4 separate regions of the Mus musculus genome follow, and all the other regions are reported to be linked to region 2. Evidence: microRNA targets listed by miRTarBase, many of them from high-throughput screens and not tested one by one. Region 2 holds a microRNA gene; each other region holds the end of a gene's coding sequence.

Evidence for each region. Region 2 holds the annotated microRNA mmu-miR-3473a (UGGAGAGAUGGCUCAGCA, at 2,078-2,095, opposite strand). A microRNA usually pairs through its seed, bases 2 to 8, with sites in the 3' UTR of a target mRNA and lowers its output. Matches are read on the target gene's strand: a 7mer-m8 pairs with bases 2 to 8, a 7mer-A1 pairs with bases 2 to 7 and ends in A, and an 8mer does both.
Region 1: miRTarBase lists Atp2b2 as a target of mmu-miR-3473a. Seed matches in the 3' UTR shown: 7mer-m8 at 2,168-2,174 and 7mer-A1 at 2,438-2,444.
Region 3: the mRNA of Adam11 is a reported target of mmu-miR-3473a. Seed matches in the 3' UTR shown: 7mer-m8 at 860-866.
Region 4: miRTarBase lists Myo5a as a target of mmu-miR-3473a. The part of its 3' UTR that is shown has no 7-base or 8-base seed match.

Annotation. Positions count from the first base shown.
Region 1 is chr6:113,745,691-113,748,811 of GRCm38, reverse strand. Atp2b2 (ATPase, Ca++ transporting, plasma membrane 2) reads left to right here. Exons shown (of 20, transcript NM_001036684.3): 20 at 1-3,121. The coding sequence ends at 275. Among named protein-coding and RNA genes, the nearest start is that of Sec13, 6.6 kb to the right of the region's middle.
Region 2 is chrX:162,872,843-162,875,963 of GRCm38, forward strand. It overlaps Mir3473a (microRNA 3473a), which reads right to left and starts at 2,153; the gene lies at 2,076-2,153. The region is part of intron 4 of Syap1 (synapse associated protein 1); the gene reads right to left.
Region 3 is chr11:102,777,742-102,780,862 of GRCm38, forward strand. It overlaps Adam11 (a disintegrin and metallopeptidase domain 11), which reads left to right. Exons shown (of 27, transcript NM_009613.3): 27 at 390-2,521. The coding sequence ends at 405. Among named protein-coding and RNA genes, the nearest start is that of Adam11, 18 kb to the left of the region's middle.
Region 4 is chr9:75,217,500-75,220,600 of GRCm38, reverse strand. It overlaps Myo5a (myosin VA), which reads right to left. Exons shown (of 41, transcript NM_010864.2): 40 at 3,022-3,101; 41 at 1-2,760. The coding sequence ends at 2,608. Among named protein-coding and RNA genes, the nearest start is that of Myo5c, 13 kb to the left of the region's middle.

The sequences.
Region 1 (3,121 bases), not on the chromosome of region 2:
AAGGGTTAGAAAAACCCGAGTCTCGAACCTCCATCCATAACTTCATGGCTCATCCTGAATTCCGGATCGAAGATTCCCAGCCCCACATCCCCCTCATCGATGACACCGACCTGGAAGAAGATGCCGCGCTCAAGCAGAACTCGAGCCCGCCGTCCTCGCTCAACAAGAACAATAGCGCCATCGACAGCGGGATCAACCTGACGACCGACACGAGCAAATCAGCTACCTCTTCAAGTCCAGGGAGCCCCATCCACAGCCTGGAGACGTCGCTTTAGCTGAGGCCCCTGTCGCCTGGCCACGCTCATGGACCCGCCGCCACCCGCCTCCAGGCGCACACCCTTCCAGGCACCAACTCCCCGACACAGCAAGGAGCACTGGGCGGAACCCACACAGCAGAGAGGGAACCAGACCTTTCTCTGGCAGCCATGCTGTTTGAACTCTTTTTCACTCCTTAGGCCTTGGGCGGGGTTGCCCTGGGGTCATCTGGAGCAGAGAGTGGCGTGGATTTTTTTTTCTCCAAAACATAAAAAATAATAATAACGAATTAATTAAAAAAAAAAAGAGCCTTTCCAGGCTCCAGCCCAGACACGGACCAGCCATGCACCCGCCGGCCACCGTGGCCCCAGCATGAATGTACCTGGACACTATTAATCCCCTCCCTCATTTGGTTCTTGGAGGGCTAGGGAGGGGAGTTTTTTGTTTGTTTCCTTAGGCGGGAACTGCAAACAGGAACTGGAACAGAGACTACTGTTCGTTCAGTCCACTGGTCTATGAGGTTTCAAATGCTTGCCCAGCATGGTCTCAAATGTCTAGATTAATTTAATAACTTTTTGAAATCACAGAGTAGGTTTGCACCAATGAAACCCAAGAACTCCACAGACACTCACGAGGTTATATCCGTTTCTTTGTATCTATATCAACGTATACTTCTTGAAGACTGTATACGTGCGTATAGATAAGTAGATATTATATATATATATATATACATATATATACATGGATATATAAAGTTCCTTTGCCGGCATGTTGCCTTGTTTCTGCTTAAATTGCTCTATTTTAACTTATGTCCTAAAAGAAGAATGTAATTTGTTTACAAACCTGTAGATAATGTCTTTGGCTATTTGTGTGGTTTAAGGACACTGGTGGCCAAGATGCTTACAAACAGCTCGGGCCCAACAGACACATCCCCTGGATTGCATCCTTGAAGTTTTACGATAGCCATGCTCTGATTTTTGCCTGCTATTTCCGTTCAATAATGTCACTACTGTGGGAAGCTCAGGCAGAAAGCCAACGGCTCCCAAGGATCCACCCTGAGGAGCTAAGCAACGCGCTCGCTCACTCCACCGTAGACAAGGGAGAAGAGGAGAGAAGGCTTCCTGGGTTTGCAACACGGCCGTCCAGGTCTGGTGACGTCAACGTCTGTAGTGCACCCGGAGAAGGAAGACTTTTCTCTCAATGAAACTCGCTTGAGTTTACAGAGAGCATTTCAGAACTGAGTTGTCTTTGGCACTGTCTGTGAGTCAAGGTAGTGTTCAGATATTACAAATGCTATTGTGTTGAATTTTTTTTTTTTTTTAGTTAGTAATTTAGAAGTTTCTTTTCTTATAAACGGCAGCATAGACACTGCTGACATACTGGATGAGGGTTGGTACGGCTTGCTGCTTTTGTTTTTTTTTTTTTTCTTTTTGAAGAAGAATAGCCTTTTTTCTCTGCACTATTTAGATCCGAATGAACCTTATAATGTGTACATTGAGATGTATTCAGTGTGATTTTTAAACCAAATTGTCTTCCTGTAGTTACAATATATACTGTAGCCTTTTAACAGCAAGTCCTGCTTTCCCAGACAGAAAGCCATTCTGATATCTTCCCATATCACAGGTGAGAAAAGGTGGCTATCCCCTCTCCCAACAATAACAGCACTAGTTATCCCACTTAATAAGAGCTTGTCTGTCGGCCTCTTACTGCTAAGCACTTTGTGGGTCTCAGCTTTTTTTCATAAAAGAACTTTTGTATTTAATACAAAGTTTGCTTTGAGACTTTTCAGCATACAATCTTTTTCCATAAACTTGTACAGTGCAAAAGACATTTTGAATACCATGACCGATGATGTCCCGTGCTTCGAGGAAATCAAACACTTTCCGCCTCACTTGTGAACTCCATCCTTCACTCTCTCCCTCCTCACAATCGCTCCTCCTCGCTCTTCAGCCTGGCCCCCCAGCCCTCCTCCAGGCCCAGAGACCTCTTCACTAAACAAGATGACAGCCACTTGGGAAAAGAGCCATAGTCAGCTGGGAGGGCCCACGTCTGGATGGCTGTGAAAAACTTGAGTTCTTGGTTTGGGCTTCAAAGTCTGCCCATCCCACCTGGCCATAATCTTTCTATAAGGAAGAATATCTCTGAAGGATTCTGATTGTATCCAGGAGAGAGAGAGAGCTACCTCTCCAGCAGGTGGACCAGCCCTAGATGTACTCACTGGATTCCAGTACAGACACCACCAGAGCCAGTCCATAGTACCCCTCCAAGGGAGGGAAGGAAACCCGGGGCTGCCTTGGAACAGGATAGGTTTTTGGTTTGGTTTTGTTGTTGTTGTTGTTGTTGTTGCTGCTGCTGCTGTTGTTGTTTGATTGGTTTGGGACTTTTGGTGGGGAGTCCTTTGTCACATTTTTCATCCTGCCCTCCTTCATTCAACCATGCATCTATGACCTCATTCCATGCCACCAGGGTTCTTGCTCTTAACAAACCGGGGTCCTCGGGCTTTGGAACCAGGCCTCCAGGGCAAAGAGGAAGGGGTTCTCTGAGCAGAGCCAGGTTCTCAGACAGGAGCAGAGGAAACTAGCAAGGAGGCCTGACATTAGTGCTGGCTTCCCGGTGTCAGGAATGAGAGATAGCCTATGCCCCAGCCCCTCACTCTCACACTCTTCCATACACACACACACCTACACAGGAGATGGTTGGTTTGTCAGAACTCACTGTAATACACAAGCTTGCACTTCTGCGTCCTATATCTAGCAGCATGGGATACGTTTGGCAGTTCACCCCATTAGGGGGTCAATAATTTATGACCATTCATCTGTTTTTATGAATTTTTTTATCTAGACAATAATTGTAAATAAAGAATTCA
Region 2 (3,121 bases):
CACCTGGACAGAGGCTCCCAGGAAGCCAGACAGTTCACTCAGTTGATTGAAACAACATAGTTAAAAATCATATAAACATGTAATAATCATATAAACACCTTTAGGTTTAGAAACATTCTAACTCAAGGCCAAAACACAGTGTGGAACATGCCTGTAGTCCCACCACTTGGGCAGTAGAGGCCAGGGGGATTAGGACTTCAAAGTCAGCATCGTCTGTACAGAGGTTTGGAAGTCAGCCTGGGTTACATGAGACTGTCTCAAAAAGACAAAACCTAAGCTGGTGAGATCACTCAGTGGGTAAAGGTGTTTGTCACCATGCCTGATGATCTGAATTTAATCCCTAGGGTCTTTGGAATGAAAGCGAGGATATGGGCTGAAGTGATCGCTCAATGGTTAAGGAGCACTGGATGCTCTTCTGGAGGACCCAGGTCCCACTAAAATCACCCCCAGGGCAATTCCCAATGTCTGTAACTGCAGTTCTAGGTGATCCGACAACTTCTTCCAGCTTCCTCAGGCATTGCATCCAGACATGCAGGCAAAACATCCCTACACGGAAAATAAAAATTAAAAACCAGGCCAGGCAGTGGTGGCGCACGCCTTTAATCCCAGCACTTGGGAGGCAGAGGCAGACGGATTTCTGAGTTTGAGGCCAGCCTGGTCTACAGAGTGAGTTCCAGGACAGCCAGGGCTACACAGAGAAACCCTGTCTCGAAAAACCAAAAATGAAAATAAATAAATAAATACCAGAAACAAAGCAACAAAAAAAAGAAAGCCATCACCAGCAACATGAACCTCTGCAAAACATTCAGAAAAGCATGGAATTGAAGATCTGGGTATAGTATTGATGTCTGTAATCTCTGTACCTGGAAGGAGGATTAGAAATTTAGGGCCAGCAGCCTCTACTATAGAATGAGCTCAAGGCCAGCCTCAACAAAGTAAAACAACACAATACAACACAGAATCCTACTAGTTACAGATAATTTATGGTTCAATGTAACACTCCCTTGGGTCCCTATGTCTAATATATGTGGTGTCCCTGCTAGTGATGAAAAATCTTGGTTGTCAACATGACAACATCTGGAATCAACTAACACCCAAGCTGGCAGGCACTTCGGTGAGCAATTTTATGAATCAGACTATTTGAAGCAGAAAGACCCACCCTAAAACTGGCAGCCCACATATAAAGACACAAGAAAAACCTTCTTTTTGCCTGTTTGTCCTTACTCTCTACGGCAAATTCATCTATTCTGTTGCTGCAGCTGGTATTAAATAAAACTGCTTTAGGATTCCCATGTAGACTGAGACTAGCAGCTATCCAGGAATCTTCTGGGACTGTAGCACCAGACAGGGATTGCAGAGACATCCAGCCTTGTGGAGTAAATAACTACTAGATTTTCAAGCTTTACACTCAGACAGTTGTTGAACTATCTGAACCAGGCTAATACATCTACTTTCAATATGCATATTTACTCTGTCAGTTTTTTTTTCCTTGGTGTTTTTGAGACAGGGTTTCTCTGTGTAGCCCTGGCTGTCCTGGAACTCACTTTGTAGACCAGGCTGGCCTCGAACTCAGAAGAAATCTGCCTGCCTCTGCCTCCCAAGTGCTGGGACTAAAGGCGTGCGCTACCACGCCCAGCTCTGTCAGTTTTTTTAAAGGTTTATTTATTTAACGTATTGGAGTACACTGGTTGTAAGCCAGCCATGTGGTTGCTGGGATTTGAACTCAGGACCTCCGGAAGAGCAGTCAGTGTTCTTAACCACTGAGCCATCTCTTCAGCCCTATTCTGTTAGTTCTATGCCTTTAGAGAATCCAGCAGGTAAGATTTGCCATACGTAGGAAGGCAGGCAGTCCATACATTGTGATAGCTACCACTTTTTAAAAAATATCTTGTTTGATACATAAGGCAATTCACTTTAAAAAAAAAGTTATTTCTTTTTTTTATCTGAGTACACTATAGCTGTCTTCAGACACACAGTAGAAGAGTACATCGGATCCCACTACAGATGGCTGTGAGCCACCATGTGGTTGCTGAGAATTGAACTCAGGACCTCTGGAAGAGCAGTCAGTGCTCTTAACTGCTGAGCCATCTCTCCAGCTTAAGACAATTCACTTTTTAAAAATATTTTCTGGGCTGGTGAGATGGCTCAACAGGTAAGAGCACCCGACTGCTCTTCTGAAGGTCCTGAGTTCAAATCCCGGCAACCACATGGTGGCTCACAACCATCTGTAACGAGATCTGACTCCCTCTTCTGGTGTGTCTGAAGACAGCTACAGTGTACTTATTACATATAATAAAAAAATAAATAAATCTTTTTAAAAAAATATTTTCTTTCTTTTTTGTAGGTTTTTATGTGTATGGGTGTTTTGCCAACATCTATGCCTGTGCACAACATGTGTGGCTAGTAACTACAGAGGTCAGAACAGGGTGTCAGAGCCTGAGACTAGAACTTATGAATTGTTGTAAGCAGCCATGTGGGTGTTGGGAATCAAATCTGAATCCTCTGAAAGAGAACCCAGTGTTCTGAACCACTGACCAACTCTCCAGTCCTAAGTTTTTGTTTTAAAAACAGTCTCCTATAGCAAAGACTAGCCTTACATCCTCTATTGGAGGATAACCCTAAACTCTTGCTCCTCCTGACTGCTGGGATGACAAGCATGAAAGCCGACTTTCTTTTCTCACTCAAGGTCATGAACAACTTTCCAGCTCTAATGGCTATATTAAATGAGCACTAACTTACCATAACTTACTAAACCAGACCTGTTTCCAGAGTCATTTTAGTAGTTTCTAACTTTTTGAAAGAATTCTGAAAGCAGGGTATAGTGGCATACATCTGTCACTTGGGAGGCTAACACTGGAGGACTGCTTAGAATTTGAGACCAGACTGGGCTACACATTGAGTTCCAGAATAAGACCTTATTTTTTTTAAAAAAGGAGAGTCTGTATTCCTTTGTAAAGTGAACTTTAAATTAAAAAAATATATATTTATTATCATTATTGTGTGTGTTGGGGGGAGGTAGAGGCACACACCCCTGTGCCACAGTTTGTATGTAGAAGTGAGAGGACAACATAGGGGATTTGGTTCTTACTCCATTTTATGAGGGTTCAAAGGATTGTACTCA
Region 3 (3,121 bases), not on the chromosome of region 2:
TTGACCGGGAGCTGGGACCGATCCGATTCCCGAAGCCCTGCAGGGAGCCTGGGAAGCGAGTCCTCTGTCTGCTCAGGCCCTTCCTCCTGCCCACCCGCCTGTTGGGCCCTGGCCCACCTTCATCTGTCCTTTCTGCCGCCGGGTCCCATGGCCGGGTGGGCGCTGGAACTGTGCCCTGCAACCCCTTCCGCTAGGAGGGGGCCTCCCCCTGCGTCCTGCCCATCTGTTTTGTCTACCATGCCACCGCTGTCTGACCTCTGCCAGAACCCCCACCTGGCCAGCTTGTGACTTGATGCCTCCAGGACCTCTGGGGAGGAGCGGGGCAACTAGAGGGCTCACCCTCAGAGCCCAGCCTCAAGTCCTCTCCTGATGCCCTCTCTCCATTCCAGGTCCGGAGGGGCCTAAGTGCCACCCTGCTCCCTCCGAGCCTGGCACCCACCATCTCGGCCCTGAACCACGAGGCTGCCTCCACCCTGCCACAGAGGGAGGCACCGTGCAAATGTCTTCCGGGTCCGAACCCTTCAACTCCTGGCTGCACAGGGGTTGGGGGTTGGGACTGTGATATCGCCTTTCAGACCACCTGGGTAGAGGGGCCGGGAGGAGGACGCTTCCTGCCCAGTTCCCCATCCCACCTCATGCGGCTTTGGCCTTGCACACGTCTCCCCCTGTGAATGTAGCCTCCATCATCACAGACTGCCACAGCTCACGTTGGGGCCTGGACCGGTGCCTGGTGGGGACAGCTGGGTGGCCCCTCTTCAAAACCAGGCAGCTGGAACCAGGGGAGTAGCTCCCCTGGACCTCACGGGAAGGGGCTGATCTACATTTTCTCTCTCTCTCTCTCTCTCTCTCTCTCTCTCTCTCTCTCCCTCTTTCTCTCTCTCTTTCTCTCTCTCTCTTTTGTTTTACTACTTAATCTTAACTGATGAATGTAACCTTTGGGTTGCTTGGGGCCAGGGGGCAATTGTAGGGATGTTTTGACACTTACAGGAGGGCCTCCTGGGCCCGAGGCCTTGAGACCTCCCACATCCCTCCCTGGGAGGCCCAAACGAATCCTGTCAGGGAACCCAGCTGGGGCAGGGCAGCCCTGCTTGCCCCACCTCTGCCCAGCTTAGTAGAAGTCAGAGTGCTGATTCAAACCAAAGCTGCCTGTCCCGTGCCCACTGCCTAGCTCATGGGACTCTGTCCCAGACTGTCTTCGATTCCAAACTGACCATCCTGTCCCTGCCAGGGTGCATGCATTCGGGGGTATAGAAAAATATAGTCCCTAAAATAAAACTCCACCTTTCCCCTTTCAAGAAGGGTGATTCTGGGGCTGTCTCAGGGTTCAGGTGCCCCCTGATGTGGCCTGGCTGTTCTGGAGCAGGCTATCGTAGCAGGGAGGACTCTCAGTAGGGAGAACCAGGGGTGGCCCTGTGCCCCAGGGTTAGTGCCTGTGATGTGTATGAGGAGATGGGGAAAGGGCAGGCCTCGTGGATGGTTATAGGTGACTAGGAAAATTCTCAAGTCCTCAATCCATACCCACCCCCGTCACAAGTTTTATTCACCTGTAGTCTAGGGCTGAGTAGTAAGTTTACAGATGTTCCTGTCTGCCCTCCTGACTGGTCCTTGCTGCCGCCCAGCCTGAGAGCTGGACCAAGGCTGGCAGAGCTGCTCAGCCCTCCCACAGTCCAGCAGGGCCAGCCTTCACAACCCTATGTGAGACACACACGCTCTGGCTCCATGCCCTAAGAGCTGGCGGGGCAAGATAGAGCAGGCTCTCTTATGGACGAAAACCACAATGTAAGGAAGCCCCTTCTAGGGGACACCCCACTCAGGCTAAGTAGTAGTTCTAGGTACCCCAGAGACAGAGGGTTACCCGTTTGTGTACCTCCTATTTCTGAGGACTCTTCAAGGAAGGCTAATGGAGAAAATGGCTTCATTTATCTAAACCAACCCAGTGGCCGGCACCTTGGAGCCTACGGCCCACTGGCAGCTTTGGGGGTAGCCAGATGGTGTTGGCCACAGTGGGGTCCTCAGTGCTGAGCCCCAGGTGCCACTGTCCTAGTGACAACAGGACAGATGCAGGCCACCAGCCCCACTAGCTGAGGTCAGGGGAAAGGCTGCATTTTGCATTGTTGCTGGGATACCTCGAGACCTCCATCAGGTGGCACATGCACACACAGGTGGCAGTGCACCTGGGTGCAGACATGTGAATCCACGCCTCTGCACCACTGTGAAGGCCTCTGCATACAAGGGCATGACCATGTGTGTCCTCGTGTCCTTGGTGAAGAACACAAGACTTCCTGTGGCCAGTCCACCCGAGGCGTCCAACTTCCTGCATCCCCTTGCCCCACCCTAGCAGTGCCTGGCCTGGCAGCACCTAGGAAAGAAAGAGAGGAGGGGGGCTGCATTCACCTGGCCCAGACCTGGGTCCCTCCGCATCCTGTAAATATGTCATCTGGGCTGGGTTGGGGAGGCAGGGCCCGGGGCCCACATTAAAGATTAAAGATCACATTCTGGGCTTCCATTGAGCTCACACCAACCCATGTCTCTCCTCTCTCTCTCTCTGTAAGTGATCGCTCTGAGTCAGTCCTTGCTGTCCAGACTCTGGAGTTGTGACAACTCGGCTGCAGAGAACAAGAGCACCTAGGACAGTTGGGGAAGCAGGAGGAAGGGGTGTGGTTTCCCTCAGTAAGTGAGGAAACGGGCAGTGGGCGGAGGCGAGGTCCACCCTTCCTCACAGTCGCCACAAAGACACTGCCTGGTTCCCAACCAGTAAAATTAGAGATGGTGGGAGCAGGCAGGAGGGGGCCTATGAAGCCAGAGAAGCCTTGGGACTTGACTGACACTTACCTTTGTTCCCTTGATCCTTGGCAGGGTGACAGTGGGCTGAGATAGAACCATCACTAGCCAAAAGGCCAAGTATGAACCTGGAACCTCCTGCTGTATTCCTACTTGGGAGGCAGTTAGTTTGGGGAAATGGTTGTGGAGAGCCACGGGAGGTGCCAATCCGCTGAGAGGAGACTGGAGGGAAGCAGTGGGTGAGGGAGAAAAAAGAGGGGGAAAGACAGGAGAAACCCCATCAGGCTGCAGGTACTGGCAACTGGTCCAGTATTGTAGCTACCTGGGTTCATAAGCAGAA
Region 4 (3,101 bases), not on the chromosome of region 2:
CCCAGGCATGCCGACCAGGGCCACAGAAAGCCATCAGGCTGGAAAGATTAGGGAAGTGGGGGAAGGGACAGGCAGGGAGAGGCTGGGTGTGTATTTGAAGCTAGGAGAGTATAGGTGACAGAGTAGAGGTGAGTGGTCCTCACTCAGCCTAAAGGACGCCCGTGAGCACAAGCCTGGTGCCTCCCGCCTTAACAAAGCAGTGCACACACTCACCATGGGGGTCTGAGCAGCTTGAGAGAATCTAAGTCTGGAATCATAGACTCTGAACCATTGTCACTGAACCAGGAGAACCACAAAATGGGAGCAGCTGTAGAACAGGAGCCCAAGCTCTTGACAACAGAGAAAAATGTGCGGAAGTGCTAGAAACTGTCGGGCACAGATGTCTGAAATAGGAGACTGGGGTTCAGGGACAGTGGATATGACAGCATGTCCTGAAGACAAGACTCAGGTGTGCATCAGCATCCTACTCAGGACTAAGCTGGGAGCAGGGTGTGGGCGGCCTGCCAGGGCTGAGTGAGGAAAGAGCCTACACGTGGCTCTGTTTGCTCGGCAGTTCTCCCACCCACTCCCCTTCTCTACCTGACACACTCAGTACTAGTGAGATGGCTTTAAGCACTAACTGTTCACTGAAACAATACTGAAAACCCAGAAAAACTGAAGACAATTAGTGTTTTAGGTCCTGCAAATAAATAAATGTACTGCAACTGAATGAAGACCGAGACTGTAGCTCAGTGATGTACTTATTTAACACAATGAGGCCCTGGGTTCAATTCCCAGCACTACAAAAACAAAATTCCCTAAGCAAACAAAAAAAGTTTATCATGGAACAAAAATTACTTAAACTAAGTAACTTTCAAATAATACAAATAATTAGGGTGTTGTAAAGTACCTAAATGATGTATGTTAAGAAAAGGTTTTGGCTACATAAACTTGTGACTTAGTGTATTGACCCTAGGGAACTGGCAGGCACTGAACACTGGTCTTTACAGCAGGACAGAGTGACTGTGACCCCTTTCTCTAGGAACCAAGTATGAGTGAACTGTAAACAGGGAAGTGGCTGGAACAATCAGTTGTCCAACCCTCTCACTTTATAAACAAGGACATTCAGGCTTCAATAAGATAATGAACAATAATTGTTGTTTAATAACAGTATTTATCATTGACTTGAAACCATTTAGCTCTCATTAATAATATTGCACATATTTAAATGTCACGGTTATAGACCATCTTACAGTTAAACTATACAAATTGATGATTGTAATTAAGAACCAGAGGAATGAAAGCTAAGAATTTGCTCTTGCAAAACCCAAAGGATTTACTATATAAGACTTCCAGGAAAAAAAAAACGGAGAATATGCTTAACTAGGATTTCATAATGAAGACATACTGAACCTGGATCTCACTGATCCAAATCCTCTATAAAGTTTAATAATCTCCTATACTTCTTACATACGTCTTCTTAATGTGTTTATAATATGATATTTTTAAAGTATCCAGTGGTATCTGAGAACATTTATAGAGGTTGCAACACCTAAGCCCCCTGAATTATAATGATTTATTTATATGCCTATTTTGAATAACTTATAGGATAAACAGTTTCAAGATCTTAGTCATAAATATTCTGACAGTCCTTTCCAGATAGTGACTGAAACTAACACCTAATAAATTAAAAAGAAAACTTGTCAAGGTTGAATATATGCATGGCAAGAATCAGATTTGGGAACTAAAACCAAGTAACTTTACACAACTCTATACCATGATGTGATATCCACACAGATGACTTATCAATGTAATAATCCCGATCAGCAATGACATCAACAGCCACTCTGTCTAACTCTACTTCCCCAGCGTCTGCTACTCGCGCTGATGAACCTGTGGATAACTGTATATAATCCGGTTAGAACTGATCTGGTTGACTTGTAAACAGAGCTGATGAAAGAGAAGCGTAGTTTATAGTCCTAGTAAGACTTTCACTTAGGTCAGGAGACAGCACACAGCAGCCACTTAAGATGCTCAGTAAGCTACAGTGCAAACGGGCATCTACACGGCCTAGCAAACAGCAGCTTTCACATCGCTATGCCGTAGGGACACAGAGAAGGAAGTTACTTGGCCAGTTACTTTAATGTTGCCAGTTTATTTTTGTGATCCAGTTTGACAATATCAACATGATTGGCTCCAAAGCTGCTATGATATGTATTCAGTGATTTTCTTCAGTTCTTTGTGCCTTGTTCACAACAGTTCATACATATGGGATTGTATTTTGTATGCCACTTAAATGCAGCACTAAAGATTTAAACTAAAAGCAGTCAGCTGAAGACACACCCCTTTATCCTTCCTTTCACTCCTCCCTGCCACCTTTCAGCTGTATGTAAACTCAGGTTTCCAACTGATAAAGAATAAATGTTGTTTAAAGGTAACAGTACGAGGGGTGTCCTCCAGGTTGGTCAATCGAAAGGATTCTGGGGGGAGGGGTGGATTTCCAGTTAACATCTTCCTTTAGAGATAATCAGTACTTTTTCTTTAAAAATGCATTTTCAGTAGCTCACTGGAAACAACTGTTCATATTCTGAGGAGAAATGCGTTTTCTACGTTTGCTTGGACAGCACTTCAGACCCGTGCGATGAAGCCCAGGCCCAGGCTGGCTGGGATCTGGATGGTTTCTAGGGCTAGGGAGGATGGGTTAAAGGGAAAAGTGACAGGAAAGATGTGTTTTGCATCCATGAGCAGCTGTGGAGAGTCTTTCCTGTCTCGTAACCGCATCTGAGAAGATTAAGAAAAAAGACAAACAGGGTATCAATCCTTCCAACTTGCAAGATATTTTTCTATAAAATTTTTATTAAAAATTTAATGAAAATGTTAATTTTTTGATTAAAACTATTTATGGACTATAAACTTATATAACTGCAAAATAAGAAAAATGGAAAAGCAAAAGATAAAGACACATTTTCCTTCCAAAAACATTGTGAATATTCCATTCAAATGACCATGTGGTAAATCAGTAAGAAAGAAAAAGCCTCTTACCTGTATAGTGCGGATAAATGAAACTGAGACCCTTTCTTCAAACTCATTAACCGGTGTGTACAGATTCAACACTTTGACAA